Drosophila melanogaster: one gene and its partners. The protein of the gene in region 1 purifies or fractionates together with the protein of each later gene. This does not show direct contact. Each region holds a gene or a part of one and is shown on either strand. Other genes may lie near its edges.

Region 1 (6,841 bases):
CCTTTTGGCGAATGCAAATCGTCGTCGGCTTACTGTTGTCATAACAATTCCATTAACGAGGACTGTCTGTCTGATTTGGCATATTTATGAGCTTAGGAAATTGAATTGAATTATTCAGAGCGACAAAAAGGAGGCCTCTAATACATGATGGTATCATTTGCTGAAAATGAATTCTATTGGCGGGGATTTCCTTCTTTCTTGACTCGCAAAATGATTGTTAAATGTATTCTATACCAGATCGATCCAATCGGCCAAATAATGAAAACATTTTGGCATTTGGCATTTGGCAAATGCCCCAAAACCGCACGAATGCAATGTGTCTGGTCTGGTCTGGTCTGGTCGGCGCCCCACGCACCATCGAGCATAATAAATCCGATTCGAATCTGATCTATCCCAACATCAGGGGTTGACATTTAAATTAACACCCATGTGGTATGGCTGCATGGGGGTTGGAATCAGGACCTGTGCGACAGGACTTGGCTCAGTCCTTTCGCTTAGCTGCTGGCAGTTGGTTGGATTCAAAGGCTCTTGCTTTGGTTTTGACATTTAGTTTTATTTTTCGCTGTAAATTTTCATCGGTACAAATGAAAATGGAAACTTGAGTATAACTAACATACTATTCAATTTCGTTTAAATTACATAATATTAAACTAGATGCTTGCCATTAGATTTATCTGCTTTAGTTCCCTCTTTGTTTGCTGCTTTAGTTTCAGTTGTAGTTGATTTGTTTCCCTCAATTGTCTAGTTGGTGTTTTCCATTTTTACACAAATCAAAAGGAGGATCATCACTCCAACTAAACACTATAAAGCGGTGCCATCGCGGCTGGCTCTGTGTAAGGGTGCTATATATGTATAGGAGATATGGGGACGACAGAGGGTCGAACACGACAGAAATGCAACGATAATACGGCAAAAGTACGTACAGAGTTGACTAAACCGAAACGAGTGTGTGTGTGGTGTGTGTGTGTAGTTTGTGGGAGATGTCGGCTGCCTTGGCGAACAAACATTTTGGTTGTTGCTGCTTCGCAACCGCTGGCTTTTGGAATTGGATTAAGTTTTTTTTTTTCTTTAGAGTTGCAGTGTTTGTTTTCGGATTCGGCATGTGGGGATGCCCGCTTACTCCTTGCGCGCTTGACGCTTGCGTGTTTTTGTGTTAGATTCCTAAAGAGAATAACGTTGAGATTAGTTCTGGTGGTGGACACAAGCAAGCTTATTTTTGAACGCACCTCAGTCTGTGCGGGCTCTCGGCTCTCCGCCGCCTTGGACTCCTCTTCGTTATCATCTAAATCAGACTTTTGGTTCTTCTTGGGACTAGCGGACAGCGGTGTGCTCTCCTTGCTGGTATCGCCAGCGGCCCTTTCGTCGCTCTCCTCCTCGGCCTCGGGCTCATCGTCGGGCTGAGGATCGTCGGACTTCTTGGCCTCGGCAGCAGCCTTTTTGGCAGCCGAGTCCTAATAGCAAAAGTGGGATTAGTAAATTCCTTATGAAGATCTCAAGTGAAAGCTCGAGCATCATTACCTGACTCTTAGCGGTACCAAATCTACAGTAGATGGTGAGGGCAACCAGCGCCACAATGGCCACCAAGCCAATGCCCCAGATCGAGGGATTGGCCTTGGCTAGCTCGACTACCTTATTCACGAATGAGTCCTATTAATGAGAAAGCCAAAGAATAGCAGTAGCAATTACAGGTGCACGGTGCAGGGCAAATATGAGAGGTGTTCATGTGGTTGTACTGTAGGCACTTCTAATTAAAATTTGAAAGCGTAAGACAAGACCGGAGCCAACCTCTTTGGCGCGTCGGTAGAGATAGAAGACATAACAACTGGCCGGAATGAGCAGGTACACGAAGTACAGGGCCCACCAGCCGGGCTTGTAGTTCATGCGGCGCATTAGGCGGTGCCAGAAGGTTTTCTTCGAATTGGATAGAGAAGTCTCTCGATTACGAATCCCTGTGTTTATTTGTGAAGGGAAAACGGAAGAGGTTAGGGGTTTTAAACTTACCGATTCACGATCGATGTAGCGACGCTTGATGTCGAAGCTGTTGGCGGCAAAGTCACGGGCCACCTCCACGTCGTCCGTGATGATTAGGTTGTCGAAGAGAATATCGCTGGACATGGACCACAGTTCCAGACCCACAGCGCTCTAAATAGAGTTAGTTTGGCTATAGCAAAGTGGACAACGAAAGCCATGCAAATTGCACTTACGATGGGCGTCATTTGGAAGGGCTTCAGATCCTCAAAGAAGTCTGGATTGGGAATCTTCCTGGGTGCCCACTTGCCCTGGTAGTTGGGGTTCTCGATCATTGGTGCACGCCACTTGCCCTTGTAGTTGGGATTGGGGATGAGCGGAGCCTTCCACTTGCCACAGCCGGGAGCCTTCTCGCACACTGGATTGTCCACCAATGGAGCCTCCCACTCGCCATCGATTTCGGCATCCCAATCCTCGGGTTTGGTGGCAGTTGGATCGAAAATCATGTCGGGCTCATCTTCGAGCCAGCCATTGGGCATGACGGCATCGGTATCGGGCAACTGGGGTGGAGCATCCTCATCCCAATCCTCGGGCTTGTGGGCAGTGGGATCTGGGATCTTCTCTCGCTCATCCCACGATTCGGGCTTGTGGTCATTGGGGTCGTCGATCTCTGCCGGCGGGTTGACTGGTGGCTTGAAATCGGTTAGCAGGGAACCCTCATTGATGATCTTGTGGTCAACGCGAATCTCAAAGCTGTTATCGGGACGGACCACCAGCTGGTAGAGATGGGGTAGCTTGTCCTTGAATGGCTCTTCCAAACGGTTCCTGAAAGCAAAGAACAAAAGAATATTATTCATCGATGGGATTATAAATATACGGTTTATCTGCCTCTTCAGAAATTCAGCTCATCAATGGGGGCAATAGTCCACCATCGGTGACGAAGAGCCAAACGGGTGATAAAGGTGAGCAAAGGTGATTTCGGAGATATTACACGTATGCGCAATGTCGAACACCAATTTTGTTTCTATACAACGCTCGGAAACTTTCAAGCAAGATGGTTAGAGTGGTGATTCTATTGATAGCGATAACGCTTGAACGAGCTGCTCATTTCCAATCTGCCAAAGAGTTGCGTTCATTTAATGGACTCACTTTGGCTTGTTGCAGTGCTTCTCGGTGATGGTGCCATTAATTGGATTGACGTGCCGGAATATGAAGTGCATTTTCACATCGTTGCCGCACTTGTCCGGTCCAAACATGATGGTATAGGGTGTCTTGTCATTGAACTACGAGTAAACAGATTCGGTTTCGGGGGTTGTTTACGATGTATGTTCTTTGGGGTTCAGGCGAGTGTGATCTATGAGGGCATTGGCCCCCGCACTTACCGCTTTTAGTTGCTCCGTGTCTTTTCCGGCGGACAAAAGCTTCAGATACGAGCCACCGCACTCCTGACCCTCCTAAAAACAAAAAAACAAAAACAAAAAAACGAGAATAAGCCGGGGGAGAACGAGAATTGGGTCAGTAAGCGGGTATTAATTGGATTTGCCCGGCGGCTGATGCAATCCCAGAGCGTTTCGCTAGGTGACGAACCTGCAACGTGACCTCGTACTGCACCACCAGCGGCTTGTCCGACTTGAACTCGAACGGTTTGCGGAGGGGGGCGGCTATGGCCGCGTGTTTGGCCTTCGACTTGAGCACCAGACCCAAGTCGTTAGCCCAAACGATGCGCTGCGGCGACTCCCAGTTCCAGATGCCGTCGTACTTGGAGATCTCCTCGGCGATGTCGTCCTTCTTGGCCTGCGACAGCACCCACCTCTTCCTGGACTCCTCCACGTCGTCGAAGTGATCCGCGAAGTGGAACTTCTTGGCATCGATAACCGGGCTCTCGTAGGCCAGCTTCTCATCGCCACCGATGACGGCGGGCTCCTCCTGCAAAGCATATGTGGAAACATTAGATAAGGTGCCATAAAATCCGAAGCACGCGGTTGTCAGTGGGGAAAGTGATAAAGAGAGGGAGAGAAAGATGGGTGGCCAGCATGGGTTTGAATTGGAGAGCGCTACACCTGGGCCCGCCAGACTAGTTATAGCTATATAATAACATGTTTTATGTTGCTCTTAGCTTGACCTCATCTGTAGCAGTAACTCCCCTAGAAACATAAATGACTGGCATAATTTCTAGAGAAACAAGCACGTTAAATAGAAGCTCTGCTCAATAAACCTCTGATGTAACCTGTGGAGCAACAGATTAGCGCATTCTTGGTGCTGCCATGGGGAGTTGCTATCTGCTTGACCTCGTCTGTTGGTAAACAGTTTTATTTTCCCTCGCATTCGGATTTGTTGCTGGAAAAGTGAGACACACTCGCATGCTAATTGTGGGTCATAAAGCGAAGAAGCCGGCCGCACCAACACCCCCCTCCCCCACAACCACCTTCCCCTACCCTCACAGCAATAGCGTTTCGCCTTTTCTTCTAGTAGCTTCCACTGACGTGTACTTTTTTCTCTCGTTTTTTTTATCTTACGAACCGCATCGTCGGACCAACTACTCACCTGCACATCCTCCACATAACCATCCTCGAAGTCGTCCGACTCCGTGTCCAAATCGGCGGCATTGGCCGCACTCAGCAGCAGCAAACTGCTGGCGAAGAGCAACGCCAGCGTTGCGGCCCGGTTTCCTCCCATTTTCCACGCCATTTTCACCCACTTTTCGCTCGCTCGCTGGCTGCCTGGCTGGGATTTAGTATCCGCGGAAAACCAGGTGGTGGACTCACTTGTGCGCGCTGTGCTTTTCAACAGTTTTCCCCCACTGCGGTCTGTTGCGGAATAACAAGAATCGAGATCTGGCACGACGAACTATTTGTAATTAAATTAATGTAAATTATACATTTTCTCTGCTGCGCTGCCTACTGTGTTCTGTGCTTCCTCTTCGCCTGCTTTGGTATGCCGCCGCAAAGGACAACTGGTCACACTGTCGCGTTGCGTTGTACCCTACCGTAGGGTATATATAGTTTTTAAGATACTTACTCAAGCTAGAATCTTTAATAATTGCACGTTCTTAGGAAGAGCACACTTTCAGCGGGACCAGAATATAATTGATTTGATGATTATGTTTGTGCTAAATAAAAGTAAGGAATATGTCAGATTTATTAATTTTATATACTTATTTGCTATTTAATAAATTAAGAATACTTTTGTTACCTTAAAACCACCCTCATGACCTCCCTAACCTGGTTTTGACCTAGAAAGTCTTAGTTTTAAAATTCATTAGAATAATCAAATAAATAATAATTACTATGTTATATCAACTATTATAATTCTCCCTATCATTTTTAGGATTAAAAATCTGTTAGTCTTAAGTAACCAAGACACATTGTAAAATAAAATAATTTAAGCAGATCAAATTAAGTTGCCGCATGGGTAACAGTGCGTTGATCAAATAATAAAAACATCATCGTAATCGTTACCTTAAGCATATCGATATGCCTCACTCCAATCGTCGTTACAGGGTTTGGAACTCCGATAAGTTTGTAGTACAGACTTACCCCCAGACGCTAATTGAATGTTGCATACTTTTCACTGCTAATCATAATTAATACATGATCATAATACAGAATGAAATATATAAACAAATACAATGTTATAAATAAAGAATAAATGGTTACAAGGGGAAAGAAAGCTGCATGTTTTCATTTGAGACATATAAATTCGCATAAACCACCATAAAATAATCGTTTTTCAGCCATAACTTGAGAAATATTGTCCGAAATATGGATTGTCATACCTTGTTGGACTCGTAATCGAACTCCCCTTCCAACCAAAATCAAATTTTGGAAAAAAAATTTTGAGCCAAATTTTGCAAAAAATGATGATGGTACCCCTTACAAAAAATTCAAAAATGGCCAAAATATGGATTTTGGAAAAACGGTCAAAAAGTTATATGCCCTGTTAGTTTAGGTCAAAAGATGTACAAAAAAGTTAGTTTCGTAGATTTCTGACTATTTTGAGCCAAGTAGTGACGAAAAACGTCTAAGAAAATACGTAATTTCCATATTGACAGTTTTGCCTTAATAAATTTGCACGGAAATTCGCAAACCAGTTAAAGCCTATTTTTGTTAATTATGTATGCTAATTTTTAAATTAATTTCAATCGGAATTAGGATTATCTAGGACTCGTAGCAGGCACCACTCTAGTATTTTGTTATTTTCCCTCGCCGACCATATTGAAATTAATATTTGTGCGATGTGCGATTTCCACTGAAATATTGGCATACATTTATTTTCCACTGGACATATCTGAATCAAACACTCCGTGGCATGAAAGTAGTCTTGCATGTTGCAATTATTTTAAAAGCCCGGCGGCTCAATTAATGCCCCACAACGGGAATGGCTAAGCCCCCCAATAAACTTGATGGCTGGCGGCAAAAGTTTCCCTTTGCCACGCGTGGCTCTAAAAAATAAAGTGGCATGCATTTGAGCATAAAATTATAATAAAAATTCCTAACTTATTGGCAGGATTTGTGTGGGTGGGGTCCATTCGTTGCCACGCCTTCTTTGTGCTGAGAAAATAGGTGTATAAATTTAAGAAAATAACAATAAAATTATTACAAATTAGAAGCATTGAAGGAAACGCACATTTTCCACACAAATGAACAGGTACATATATAATATTCAAGATTAACAGATTTTTCCCAGTGCACATCCTTTAACTGTGGCAACTTATCTGCGGCACGCGCAATTCTGCTGCTGCTTCTATTGCTGCCACTGACAGTTTTTCTTTCTTTTTTTTTGTTTGCAACTGCATACAAAAAGCTTTCTGTTTAATGGAATATTTAACACAATTTAAAAAGTTTTTTTCTAAAGACAAACAAAGACTCGGAAG
Region 2 (6,965 bases), on another chromosome or scaffold:
GCTTCGGTTTATAGCACGCACATTCCCGGTGACGTCACAAGGCTTTCCCAACGCTTTTTCCATAGAATCAGTTGTTGTTTGGGCTGCACAAGCCGGCAATGTAAACAAAACATAAAATATATGAATGGGTGAGTGAGTTGTGCGGGTGTCTGGGTTATTCGACTGCTTCGGCTGAGTGGGTGGCTGTTTTGGGTGGAAATTGGGTGACCCCGATGCACTGGTGTTGGTGCAAATTCGGCAATGCGTGTGCGCTGCGCCTGATGAATGAAAAGTTCGAGTGGCCGCGTGGAAAGCGGGAAAACATCTGAGCGTCAGCTGCACGGTCATATGTTTGATATTATTCCTGTGAAAGCGGAAAATGATTTTGAATATTAAAGGAAATCGATGCGGAAAATGTTTTGGAGTATTTAATAGCCATTAAATGGATAACGTAGATTTTGTCACAGGTTTATAAAATGTAGTTATAGGTAATATATTCACTAAAACAGAAACTGCCTTACACACTTTTAGTATATTGTTTTATTTACTTAAATTACCTAAGTAAATAAAAGTATTTTCAAATTGTTACAAAAAGCACACCCTTTTTTCTATTTTTGTTAATATTTGAATGCCCCACCAATCGATTGAATTTGAAGCCAATTCGTGATTCGGAAAGCGCAGAGTGTCCTGTATTAAATTCAGCCTTGCAGACAAATGCAAAAACCATCGACAGGCCGTGTCAGAAAACACACGAAAATCGAGTGAGCCCCAGAGCAATCGCATTTTAATTTGAATTCTTTCTGGTGAGGCCCTTACAAAAGCCCCCATGCGATGTGCACGACCAAAAAATGAACTTAAGTTTCGGCCAAGAATCTTGTTGAAGAATTTCTATTTGAGCATTTGTCATGTCTTCGCCTTAGTCTATAAAATATACTGTCGGTGGATGGGGACGCGGGGTGTGTGCAAATATGCGAAAGCTAAATGTCAGAGTCAACCCTTTCGCAGGCCATTCTGCCTGCTTTTTTTTCAGCCTTTTCTGGCCGGTGTTGCCGCCTTGGCCCCTTTTTTGGGTGGAAAGGAAAGTTTTTATCTTAAGCTGCGCGCTGACAGGCAGCAAAGCGGCAAGCGAGGCAACACAAGTACAAGCCGGACAAAGAAGCCAGGGGGAGTGGGGATGGGCTGGCCGAACGGAAAATGGGAAATGGAAAATGGACGGGCAACGACAAGGCGGGCAAACGTCAAGTTATAGAAAATGCTAGTGCCTGCACAATAAGAAAAGTGTCATCCGAATTGCTAATCAATGGAATGATGTTGAGGAGACTCAAAAGAAATTTAAAGACCTACTAATAAGAAAAAACTGAAAAATCATTAAGTTTTTAAACTATTCAAACATATTTAAATAATAATTTGTGCAAATTTATTATTGCTTAAAACAACTAAATAAAAATATATAATGTCATTCAAAGTTTCAAAAAAAATTTATTCAATTAAACAAAGGCCATTTTGTATCTTTTCAAAAGTATATGACTTAAAAATAGGTTCATTCATTTTGCTTATGCAAGCTAAGGACTCAGCTTTTTGTCAAAGTGCAGAAAAGGGGAATGAAACTGGTCTTAGAGGGAGAAAAAATTAAAGGACATGCTGAACGCATTCCTTGGGACACGGGCTGACAGTGAGTGATTTGACCATACCCTCATTTGCGTGCAGCAAGGACCAAGATCCGAGCTCTGGGTTCCGGGTTCCGGGGTTCCGACTACCGAGATCCAGGCACACCAATGGATTAATGTGCAAGGATGCGACTCGTCAGGCAGGCCAAGAAAATTACGTCAAGCTACGCAATGGGCCCGTGCCTTTCCCACTGCCCCCCACCACCCCACAACCTAACCAAATCCAACCCAGCCCAGCACAACCCAAACCATTATCCTTTTGGAAATCTGATGATGAGCGCCGACTGCTGCGGGCGGGCGACTCAAAATGGGAGTGACTCATTTACGCGCTGCACTCGAGTTTCAACCGGCAGCCGGCGAAGGAAAAGCGGGACTCCGAGAACTTTTCCAAGCTATTTCTGCGCCCAAATGACAGCGAAATGTAATAATGAAAAACTTTTTCTTTGTCAACTTGATGAGTATGAAATTTTTCACAAAAAAAAAAAAAGAAAAAAGATTAAATAAAATAAAAGACGAGCGGCAAAGGAACGGGTTGAGCTTGGGTGGCAGGGCGGTGAGCTAGAAATATGAAACGTCAGGACTGGTCCTTAGTCTTAGGTTGGCCTTAGTCTTGGTTGGCCTTCGAGATTAGTTATGGCAAAGGAATTTCCAAGCGAAGGCGCACGCAAATGATTGCATGCCGCATTACGCATACGCCCGGTTGTGCGTGGCCGGTTTTAAAATTGAATTTTAATATACAGCAGACACAAAGAGATGTACATGACCATATGTATATGTATATAGCTGATCCCTGGCCATGGCTGCTATAAGCCAGGTTATCCAGCCACCCCGAAAAAACACATGTTCTGCATTTTTACTTTGTACTGGACCAGGACCCACGGTCCATCATCCCTACCATTTTGCTGCTGCACCGCATCGGGGATTGCGGAATTCATAAGCTATGTGCGTTTGCTACAAAAGTGGAATTTTCGCCACGCCAAAGGATACCCGCTTGCAGGCTCCCAGCTCACAGTTCCCACTTCCCGTTTCCTAGATCCTGAGCATGCCATTAACCCACTCGCAAAAAGCGCAAAATCGCTTAAATTATTGTTACAAGCTGCCAGTGCCAAGTGGCAGGCACAGCAACAGCAAAAACAAGAACAAGACCAGGGGGGCAGGTGGCAGGTGGCAGGTGGCACAGGGCAAACCACCTGAGCTTTTGGCCGCGCTTTGCTTTGAGTGCCAGTTAGCATAACTCCGCAGGCCGCAGGCGAATATGTCTGTTGTTGCTGCTTTTGCCGCTTTGCTACTCTCCTGATGTTGGGTGCTGCTCCTGATTTTGCTGTTGCCGTTAGAAGTATTTGTGGCGCGGCAAAGGACATCCTCTCGGCAGCCCGTTCTCACCTGCCTGCCAAGCTGCAAGCTCCAGCTGAAAGTGTCTTTGGTGAGCGCTACCCACCACCTAAATATACAAAGTGTGGGGGAAAAACAAGAAAAATAACAACCTACAATAGTCTCTTCTTTGTTACCTAAAAATATAAGAAAAGCACACCTCGCAATTGTGTTGAAAAAAACAAATTGATACGAAAAAAAGCGATAGGGATGCCACAACAAAGCGCAATCTTATCAAACGTATTAAACATTTTGCTTATCAAAACAGCGAGGTTTGCACAACAATGCGAAATAGGAGGAGGCAAAATTCTTATCTGCATTTCATCAGTCAAACATTTACTGTAATCAAAAATCGCAACTATAAGGAACACAAGTAAAGGCCACAAATGAGAAGCAAATTATTGTTCGATATCCGTGAATTTGAAGGGGAACGTAATGGCCGGTTCCATGACGAACATGGTCTTGAATGGACGGCTGGCATCCCGATTGAACTCCACATGGAAATTGCGAATCAACTTGGCCACTGTGGTCTCCATTTCCAGATCCACCACCCGTTTGCCAATGCACATGCGGGGTCCAAAGCCAAAGGGAAGGAACGTGAAGGGGCTGACCTGCATCTTCTTTCCGGTCTCCGGATCCCTTAACCAGCGCTCCGGCAGAAATTCATCTGGTCGTGGATAATATGTAGCTTCCTTCATCAGCACATTTGAGCCGAGCAGGACAGTCGTTCCCTTGGGCACCCGGTAACCCGAAAGTATCACATCATTTTGGCAGGTTCTCATGGTTCCCAAGCCATTGGGATAGTATCGCAGTGTCTCCTTGATCACAGCCCTCAAATATGGCATATCCTTCATGTTCTCCTCGTTGAGTAGGGAATCCTTTGTGGGCATGATGCTCAAGAGCTCCTCCCGCAGTTTGGCCTGCTTATCCGGATGCTTTGAGAGGCAGAGTAAAACAGCCGACAGAAGCGTGGCTGTGGCATCCACACCAGCGAATAGGATGTCCAGACTCATAATCACCGCCACCTTGGGATCGATCTCCATTAATCTCTCCAGCATACTGTTACTATTTATTTTTTCGCCAGCCTGGCGGCGCTTTTCCAGTGCATCCTGATTTTCCTTCAGCATTTTCTGGGCCACATTCAAACTGTCATTGAGAGTTCGCTTCATTTTCCTGTAGGTGGGCGTCGATATGATCTTCCACATGGAGGGCTGAATGTCTAGCTTAAATGTGAGACGGAAAATATCCCTCGAGGTCTGGAAGAGGGTCAATGCATCGGAATTATCGCGGTTTTTTCTAATCAGACCCATTTGCCGATCGAAAGCCACCAGGCCGAGTGACTCGAAAACAAGCCGGCTTATTTCATCCGTAAAATCTTCGGGGACTTCTAGAGTTTTTGGATCGCGGATTTCCTTAATGCTGCACAGTAAAATGGAATTTATTGCTATATATAAATAACAATTCAATAACAAAAATTTCTTACCGCTCTATAAACTCATTATTGATATTAGACAATGGTTCATAATACATTCTCAAGCCCCTGGGTTGCATAAAGATGGGATTAATGGCTGATCGTAGTTTTCCCCATGCCTCATTTTGTCTGAAATATTCAAATTCAATTGTTTCCTTGCTACTTATTAGATTTTATACTCACGAAGCCACCAATCCTTGAACCTCACCGTAAACATCTGGTCGAACGTGTTCGCGGAAATATACAATGGAATCCAGGCCATCACGACGTGGCCAGATACCCTCGTTGCGGAATACCATCTCAATGTCCTTTGTGTTGAAAGTGGTGACCCAATCCTTGCGGCCAAACATTCCGGGCATTACATAGATATCTCCATAGCGCTTTCGCATGGCACTGGTGTATTCCGTAATCGATGCATTTTGGAATTCACCACCGGGCATGAAAGCCCTCATAAATTTGAATTTGTTGGGCCGCGGAATCTCATCGTAGGTCTTGTGCTCCTCCGTTATCTATAATTGGAAACTAATAACATGATAAATCTATTTCGACTGGATTTTGTGCATACTAACACTAGATTTAGCTTGTTCATGTGCCAAAACGGAGGCTGATCTTGAAGATCGAACGGGACCCACGTAAATCGCCACAGATCGCGCACTGCTCAATGTATTCATTCTATTCCTTTTGGTGATCAACTGCAACTAAAAACAGTTCCACTTTCGAGAACGTTCTTATACCAAAGGCTTATCTCTAAAACGTAGAAAAGAGAGGAGAGCGAATAACTTGAAATGCTTCAAAATGCAAAAATCTCAAACAAAAACAAAAGCCAGCAAACAAAGCATGAGTTTCATTTTCTTATCAGCTGAACGGTATAATCGCCGTGAATTGCCTACCTCACTCAACTGAAAAAATAAACAAATGAACGTGACTGGCTAGAAAAACAAATTGAGAGCGTTGGAACTTACAATAAATACACCTCAGAGAATTTGATACTACTATTACGACTATTACATACCCGTTACTCATTTAGTGGGATCGCTAGAAAAAAATCTAAAATATTTAAATATTTTTTAAAAATTTATAAGGATTCTAGTTCAACGGTAGACAATTTCAAGATAAATAACCAAATTAAAGAAAAATAAAAACAATTCTTAGAGTTGATCCTTGTTCTCTTTGCATACTGATATTTTATTTATTTTTTATTTTATTTATTTACTGGCGCCGCTTTTCCACAGAGTCCTCGGTGTCCTTTATCATTTTCTGTGAGAACATTAAGATGTCATCGAGAAGACGCATCATCATCCGAAAGTTTGGAGTGGAGATAAATCTCCACATTGATGGCTGTATATTCAATTGAAAGGCATATCTGAACATCGTGCTTCGTGTTTTGGAACACAGTCAATGCATCTGGATCGTCTCGATTTCGACTGATCAAACCCATTGGGCGATCGAAAGCCACCAAGCCAAGGGATTCGAAAACCAGGCGGCATCTCCAGAGTTCTAGCATCTCGAATTTCTTTAATGTTGGAGAAAAAGTAAAACTCAGGTGGACATCGAAATATACAAGTATGAATTAATTCTTAGCGCTCAATGAACTAGTTGTTGAACTCATAATAAGTTTTCAATCCTTTGGGTTGCATAAAAATTGAATTGACGGCTGATCGCATCTTGCCCCACAACGCTGCTTGCCTTAAATTATAGTTTCCAAATTAACTTCCGCTTTTGATATACATATGTAATTATTTGGTAACTTACGCGAATATCAGACCCACACTTTCTCCATAAATGGAAATATGTGATCGAGGGAAAGAAATCCTTTTCCGGCCAAGTTCCCTCACTGCGGAAAACAGTCTCGATATTCTTTGTACTAAATGTGGTGACTCAATCCTTGCGACCAAACATTCCAGGCATTATGAAGATATCACCATAACAACTTCTCATCGCTGCTGCATAATCCAAAATTGAGGCATCGTGAAATTCTCCACCCGGCATAAATGCCCTTGCAAATTCCTGTTTTCTGGGAAGTGGAATGTTCTTATAGGATCTCGCTTCAGTGACTACACTATCGGCTACCTTAATATCCAGATCACATATGTATGTTAGTGGAATACCCGATTGTGGTGATAGTATTTCAACTCACATTGGCCAAAATCTGTGCCTGACTAGAAGATGCCCTCACAAGCTGAATGGATTGCGCATTCTGCGCAATACTCATAGTTAATTTTATTAACTGCTTGCCTAAAATGACAACTGAGCTGGGAAGCCTGCCAAAATGCTTATATAGCATCGCATCCCAAGAGGAATAACAAAACGATTCTCTACAAATTGAAAAGCTGCAATCCAGCATGACTCCTAAGAATTCCCACCATCACAGTGATAGAAAGCGAAATTATTGCCGTAAGTCAAGAAAGCTTGATACTGCTAAAAAAATATCAACCGCTCATATTCAATATAAGTATGTTATTGTTCAGACATAGGCT
Region 3 (4,831 bases), on another chromosome or scaffold:
TTTTTAATTTTTTAATTACAATTTGTTGGTTTTAAAACGCAAATAAATATTTAAATATCTTTCATATTTACCTCATCGGTGCTCAGAGTCATGCTAATGGAATCATTGACGGGCAGAATTAGCTCTTCGTGCCGCTTTCCCCCTTTAAAGGAATGCATGTGCATAAGTTTATGTGCTTATAATATATGTATTAATTTACCCACAATATTTGATGAGCGCTATGTTTACGGGCGCCACACAAGTAACCGAAAACATGTTTGAAAATGTTTTTAATTCAGAAATTCACTTGTTTTCAGCTGCTTTCCAGCGAAAGCGACAACTGTTGACTGCGGTGTGACCACCCAGTGGACTCTTCAAATATACCATGTGGCCCCAAAAAATGTAGTTGTGGGTATTCCCCAATTACCGCCCATATTGAGGTTTGAGTCACGGCTAAATCGCTATTTCCATTTATTTTTAAACCAATGAAAGTTTGTAGTGAGTAAACATTAGTGTTAATAAAAATAGAAAATACATTAGCGTTAAGCATAGAGCTGTGTTTGGTTTTTGTATTTATTAGAATTGTATTTTAAATGTGAATACTTGCAGCCGCAACCATTCCGATTTCATGTGTTTCCAAATTATTTACGTGTTTAGTTTTCTTTTGGTTGTGTGTGGCTTTGAGAGACGCGGGTTGAGTAGCATGCGGTGCATTAACTTGGTTAAATTGAATGGGTCGGATGAAATGATGGGGACTAGCCCTTGAGGCTCGTCATGCCCGCACGCATCACCTCGTCGACGAGAAGCAGGTTGCTGGCAATGATCGAACAGGAGTTGAGGATCTGCTTCTTAACGATGTAGTTGTCGTAGACGCCCAGATCCACGGGCTTCATGGGCTCCCCGGTGGCCAGATCCAGGCCGACCAGTTCGGGACTCAGGCGATCCTCAACAGTCAGCTTGACGATTGTGTCCTGGGCATCGTAGCCGCTGTTCACGGCCAGCGTCTTGGGAATGACCAGCAGGGCATCGGCAAAGGCCTGCACTGCCAGGCGGGACTTGCCCTTGATGGTGTCCTTGAAGGCGACCAGCTCGTTGTACGCGCGCACCTCGAATGCTCCAGCTCCGGGCACCAGAGCCTTATCGGCAATGGTGTTGTTGATGGCACGCAGACCGTCCCTGATGGCGTCCTTGATCTGGGTGATCGTGTGCTTGTTGGGACCCTTGATCAGGATCGTGACGGACAGCGGGTTCTTGCAGTCCTCAACGAAAGTGTACTTGTTCTCGCCCAGAACATGCTCGTACACCACACCGGCGTATCCCAAGTGCTCCTCCTGCAGATCGTCAAAGGAGTTCATTGCAGTGCCACCGCAGGCCAAAGACAGACGCTCCATGTTGCGGCGCTTGGCGCGACGCAAGGCCAGGATGCCCTCCTTGGCCAGGGCGTCCAGCGAGATGGGGTCGATGCCCTTCTGGTTGATCAGGACGAAGGTTTTGTCGGTGCCATCGCACACGGAGCGCTTCAATTCGATCACCTTCTTCACACGCTGGTCGATGAATTCGCGCTCGGCGCGCACAAAGGCCTCACGCTCCTCGGCGGTCTTGTAGAAGAAGCCAGAGTTGACCTCGGCCTTCTCGTACTCCAGCGAGACATTGGCCGTAAGGATGTAGGCATTCTCCAAACGCTTCGGCATGTCCGGGTGGCGAGCACCATGGTCCATGACTAGTCCACGCACCAGCTGTGTATCGGTATCGGATTTGTGCTGCATCTCCATCAGCTCCACCATGTGGAGGTCCACGGGCTTGGTCTTATCGGCACTGGCAATGGTCAGCACGGCATTCACGCAGACGTCCGTAAGCAGATCGGCAAGGGCGGGATGCACCTTGGTCTTCAGACTTGTGTTGGCCACCTCCACCAGGTTCTTCTTGTTGATCTCCACGGGCACCTTGACCTGGTCGAGCACCTCCAATGCCTTGTCGCGTGCCTTCTCGAATCCATCGGTCATGATGCGAGGATGCAGTCCCTCGGACAGATAGATATCGGCCTGCTTCAGGAGCTCGCCAATAAGCATCACAGTGGTGGTGGTTCCATCGCCGGTGGAATCATCCTGGGCCGTGCTGGCCCTGGCAATCATAGAGGCAGTCGGATGTTGGATCTGCATTTCGTGCAGCAGGACATTGCCATCCTTGGTGATCTTGATGTCGCCGGCGCCAGAAACCAACCTGCGAAGTTTCTAGAATTAGTATGCTTGTTTCACTTTTCACGGCGCGTGAGTCAAGTCACGCCTCTTTCGATGCCACTTTCTGAATCACCCGGTGCTGGATATGCAGGTAAACACACATTTATGAATAAATTAAAGCCTCTGGGGGCATCTTTCATTTAAGATTCTTTTTGAAATTAAATAAAAACACCTAAATTCTAAGCTTTTTGCTCCAGAGTTGCAACATTCTCTTTCTTTCTTTTGCGATGACGCATGCCGCTAGTTCCAGTCTAACCTCAAACTTGCAGTTGCCGCAGCTGTGACCAAAACGTTTGTTTTTTCGCCTATAAACTAGCATTCTCACTCAAATTGCTAATGGAACGCAAAGTGAGGGATATTAGAGGCCGGTTTTAGTAACTTACATCTTAACGGTGCCCTTGGGTCCCAAATTGGTGCGCATCACATCCTGCAGTCCCTTGGCGGCACTGATATTGATGGCCAGAGCCTGGGCGGCGCGGGCAAACTCGGCCTTGGGGTTCAGCAAGCTAATCGAAGCCATCGCGTGTCGCAATTAAACAGAGATTTTCTTAGCTCGGCAAAATAAATCAATAGGAATCGGCACAAATCCAAGCACGCTTAAAGTTAGGCGAATCGAAGAAATCAGATGGCAAGTGTGACCAGATGGGGGAAAGACAACTAGAGACTTCAAAGCAGTACAATCGATAGTATTGTAATCACTTCCAATTTGTAACACTTTTATTTATTTCTAATTAGATTTTTCGTTGTGGTGGCTTACATGCAAAATGACATTTAAAAAATGTTTCATATATATATCTTTTTTTTTATTTAAATTTATTAAACGAAATTATTTTATTGACTAGCGTACCATTACCCTTCTTGGGCAACTTAATTTAATCGGTATCAATTTAAGCGATTCTTAATATCTAAGTTATTTACAAAGATTATATGATTATGAGTATTAAAGAAGGTCTTAAGGGTGGTAATATATTTCCCGCTAGTAATGGCTATTTCCCGCTAAATCACTGCAAAATAAGCCGCACAATTTAATCGGCTCACCTGCGACCACCGATGGCGATTAGCAAATGAAATGCAACCGTGCGCCCAAACCCCAACACTAAAAAGTTTTTTTTTATTGGCCAAATCGGGATAAAATCAAGTCAAAATAAGGCACAATACTAGAGTGCGCCGACCGCAGCGTAGAGTACCAAGAGACTTAATTGAATTCTGATTGTTAACCGGACAGGACGAGGATCCGCAGGCGGCGCGATGAGTGTCCTGGCGTATCCACGTACCAACGACGAGGAGATTTTCCGTCACTGCACCAAGGACTGCGGCATGGTGACGGCCACAGATGACTTCCAGTACTTCGCCCTGCGTTGCATCTTCTGCAGCGAGAAGTTTCTCTACTTCGACTCCTTCATCGGCCACATGCAGACAGTTCACCTGGGCGACCAGTCCGTGGCGAATACCTCCTCCCGTCTCCCCTTCAATCTCGGCGAGCCCATGTCCCTGTCCGGTCGTAATGGGGATCTGCCCAACTTCCACGAGATCGAAGACTTAACGGACGCGGACACAGCGCTGCTGGAGCCCCAAATGGTCATCAAACAAGAGCTCCAGGATCTGCCCTGCAGCGATGATGATGTGGTCGCCGGCGAAGAAGACGACGATGAGCAACGGCTGAACGATTCCGAGGCCGATGAGGACGAGGCCATATTACCCGAAAGCGATGTACCGGTGGTCAGTTCCAAGACGCGGGCACGCAAAAAGGTCACAAAGCAGCGCCAGAGGGACATGTCTAGCGAGCTTCTCATCGCCGGTGACGGCGATTCATCCATGGACGACTACGGTGATCCGGATCACAGCTATATGGACGACAATTCCGGAGAGTACATGGACTTTGCTGGATTCGACGGCGTTAACCACAGTGGTTTCGGAACCGAATCGGACTTTCTCAGCTATGATGAGATGGTGGAGGAGTCCCTGCTGGGAGTAAGTTATATTTTTATACTATATACATACAGATATTTTTGTTAAAATTTTCGCCCATCGATTTAAAAGCTACATTTATTTCACCCTTAATTTTCACTAATATCCATATATACCTATTTGTAATGATTTTATCATTTTCCCACCCCTTAGCGCGACCGGGAGGTTACGATGCACATCAAGGACCGCAAGATGATCCAGTTTCTCATCCACTCGTATCAGCGCAACCCCTTTTTGTGGGACCACGGCAATGCACAGTTCCGGGATCGCGTTAAGCGCGCCCGCTTCCTCGACTGGATTGTGCTGGAGTTCAAGAGCCGGTTTAACATCTCGCTGGCCAAGGACGCCATCACCCGTAAGTGGGACAACCTGCGCACGGTATACAAGCGGGAGTGCAATCGCATGGCTCTGGAGAAGACCAACATCAGTACGCTGTGGTACTTCAAGGAGCTGCACTTCCTCAACGAGGTATACAGCTACAACGATAAGATGTCCGATGCTGTTGTTAAGGTTAGTGGCTCCCCTTTCAATTCGATCCTATGCGTCCGCTTCTCTGAATTGGGGGTGGATTGAAACGGAACCTTGTTAGCGGATTAATTAACGTAAACAGGTGGGCGACTTGAGTAGAGACTTTATTTATTTATCCA

What was found. Proteins that work in one complex are often made in the same cells at the same time.
Region 2: the proteins of Cnx99A (region 1) and Cyp12d1-p purify together in Drosophila melanogaster (affinity purification with mass spectrometry, with the first as the bait; one large-scale study listed by BioGRID). This does not show direct contact.
Region 3: the proteins of Cnx99A (region 1) and CCT6 purify together in Drosophila melanogaster (affinity purification with mass spectrometry, with the first as the bait; one large-scale study listed by BioGRID). This does not show direct contact.

The regions. Positions count from the first base shown.
Region 1 is NT_033777.3:29,314,719-29,321,559, forward strand, and holds Cnx99A (calnexin 99A), read right to left. Parts: upstream 4,927-6,841; 5' UTR 4,870-4,926; exon of another isoform or gene 4,816-4,869; 5' UTR 4,657-4,815; coding exon 4,513-4,656; intron 3,895-4,512; coding exon 3,556-3,894; intron 3,423-3,555; coding exon 3,351-3,422; intron 3,252-3,350; coding exon 3,118-3,251; intron 2,794-3,117; coding exon 2,205-2,793; intron 2,143-2,204; coding exon 2,002-2,142; intron 1,912-2,001; coding exon of another isoform or gene 1,786-1,911; intron 1,648-1,785; coding exon 1,519-1,647; intron 1,452-1,518; coding exon 1,227-1,451; intron 1,162-1,226; coding exon 1,117-1,161; 3' UTR 536-1,116; downstream 1-535.
Region 2 is NT_033778.4:11,116,690-11,123,654, forward strand, and holds Cyp12d1-p (cytochrome P450 12d1 proximal), read right to left. Parts: upstream 5,196-6,965; 5' UTR 5,160-5,195; coding exon 5,058-5,159; intron 4,998-5,057; coding exon 4,672-4,997; intron 4,618-4,671; coding exon 4,501-4,617; intron 4,437-4,500; coding exon 3,416-4,436; 3' UTR 536-3,415; downstream 1-535.
Region 3 is NC_004354.4:15,744,676-15,749,506, reverse strand, and holds CCT6 (chaperonin containing TCP1 subunit 6), read right to left. Parts: upstream 2,860-4,831; 5' UTR 2,737-2,859; coding exon 2,600-2,736; intron 2,200-2,599; coding exon 735-2,199; 3' UTR 536-734; downstream 1-535. Other genes in the region: Mvd (mevalonate diphosphate decarboxylase), read right to left, coding at 72-142, 204-255; CG8944 (uncharacterized protein), read left to right, coding at 3,465-4,187, 4,338-4,694.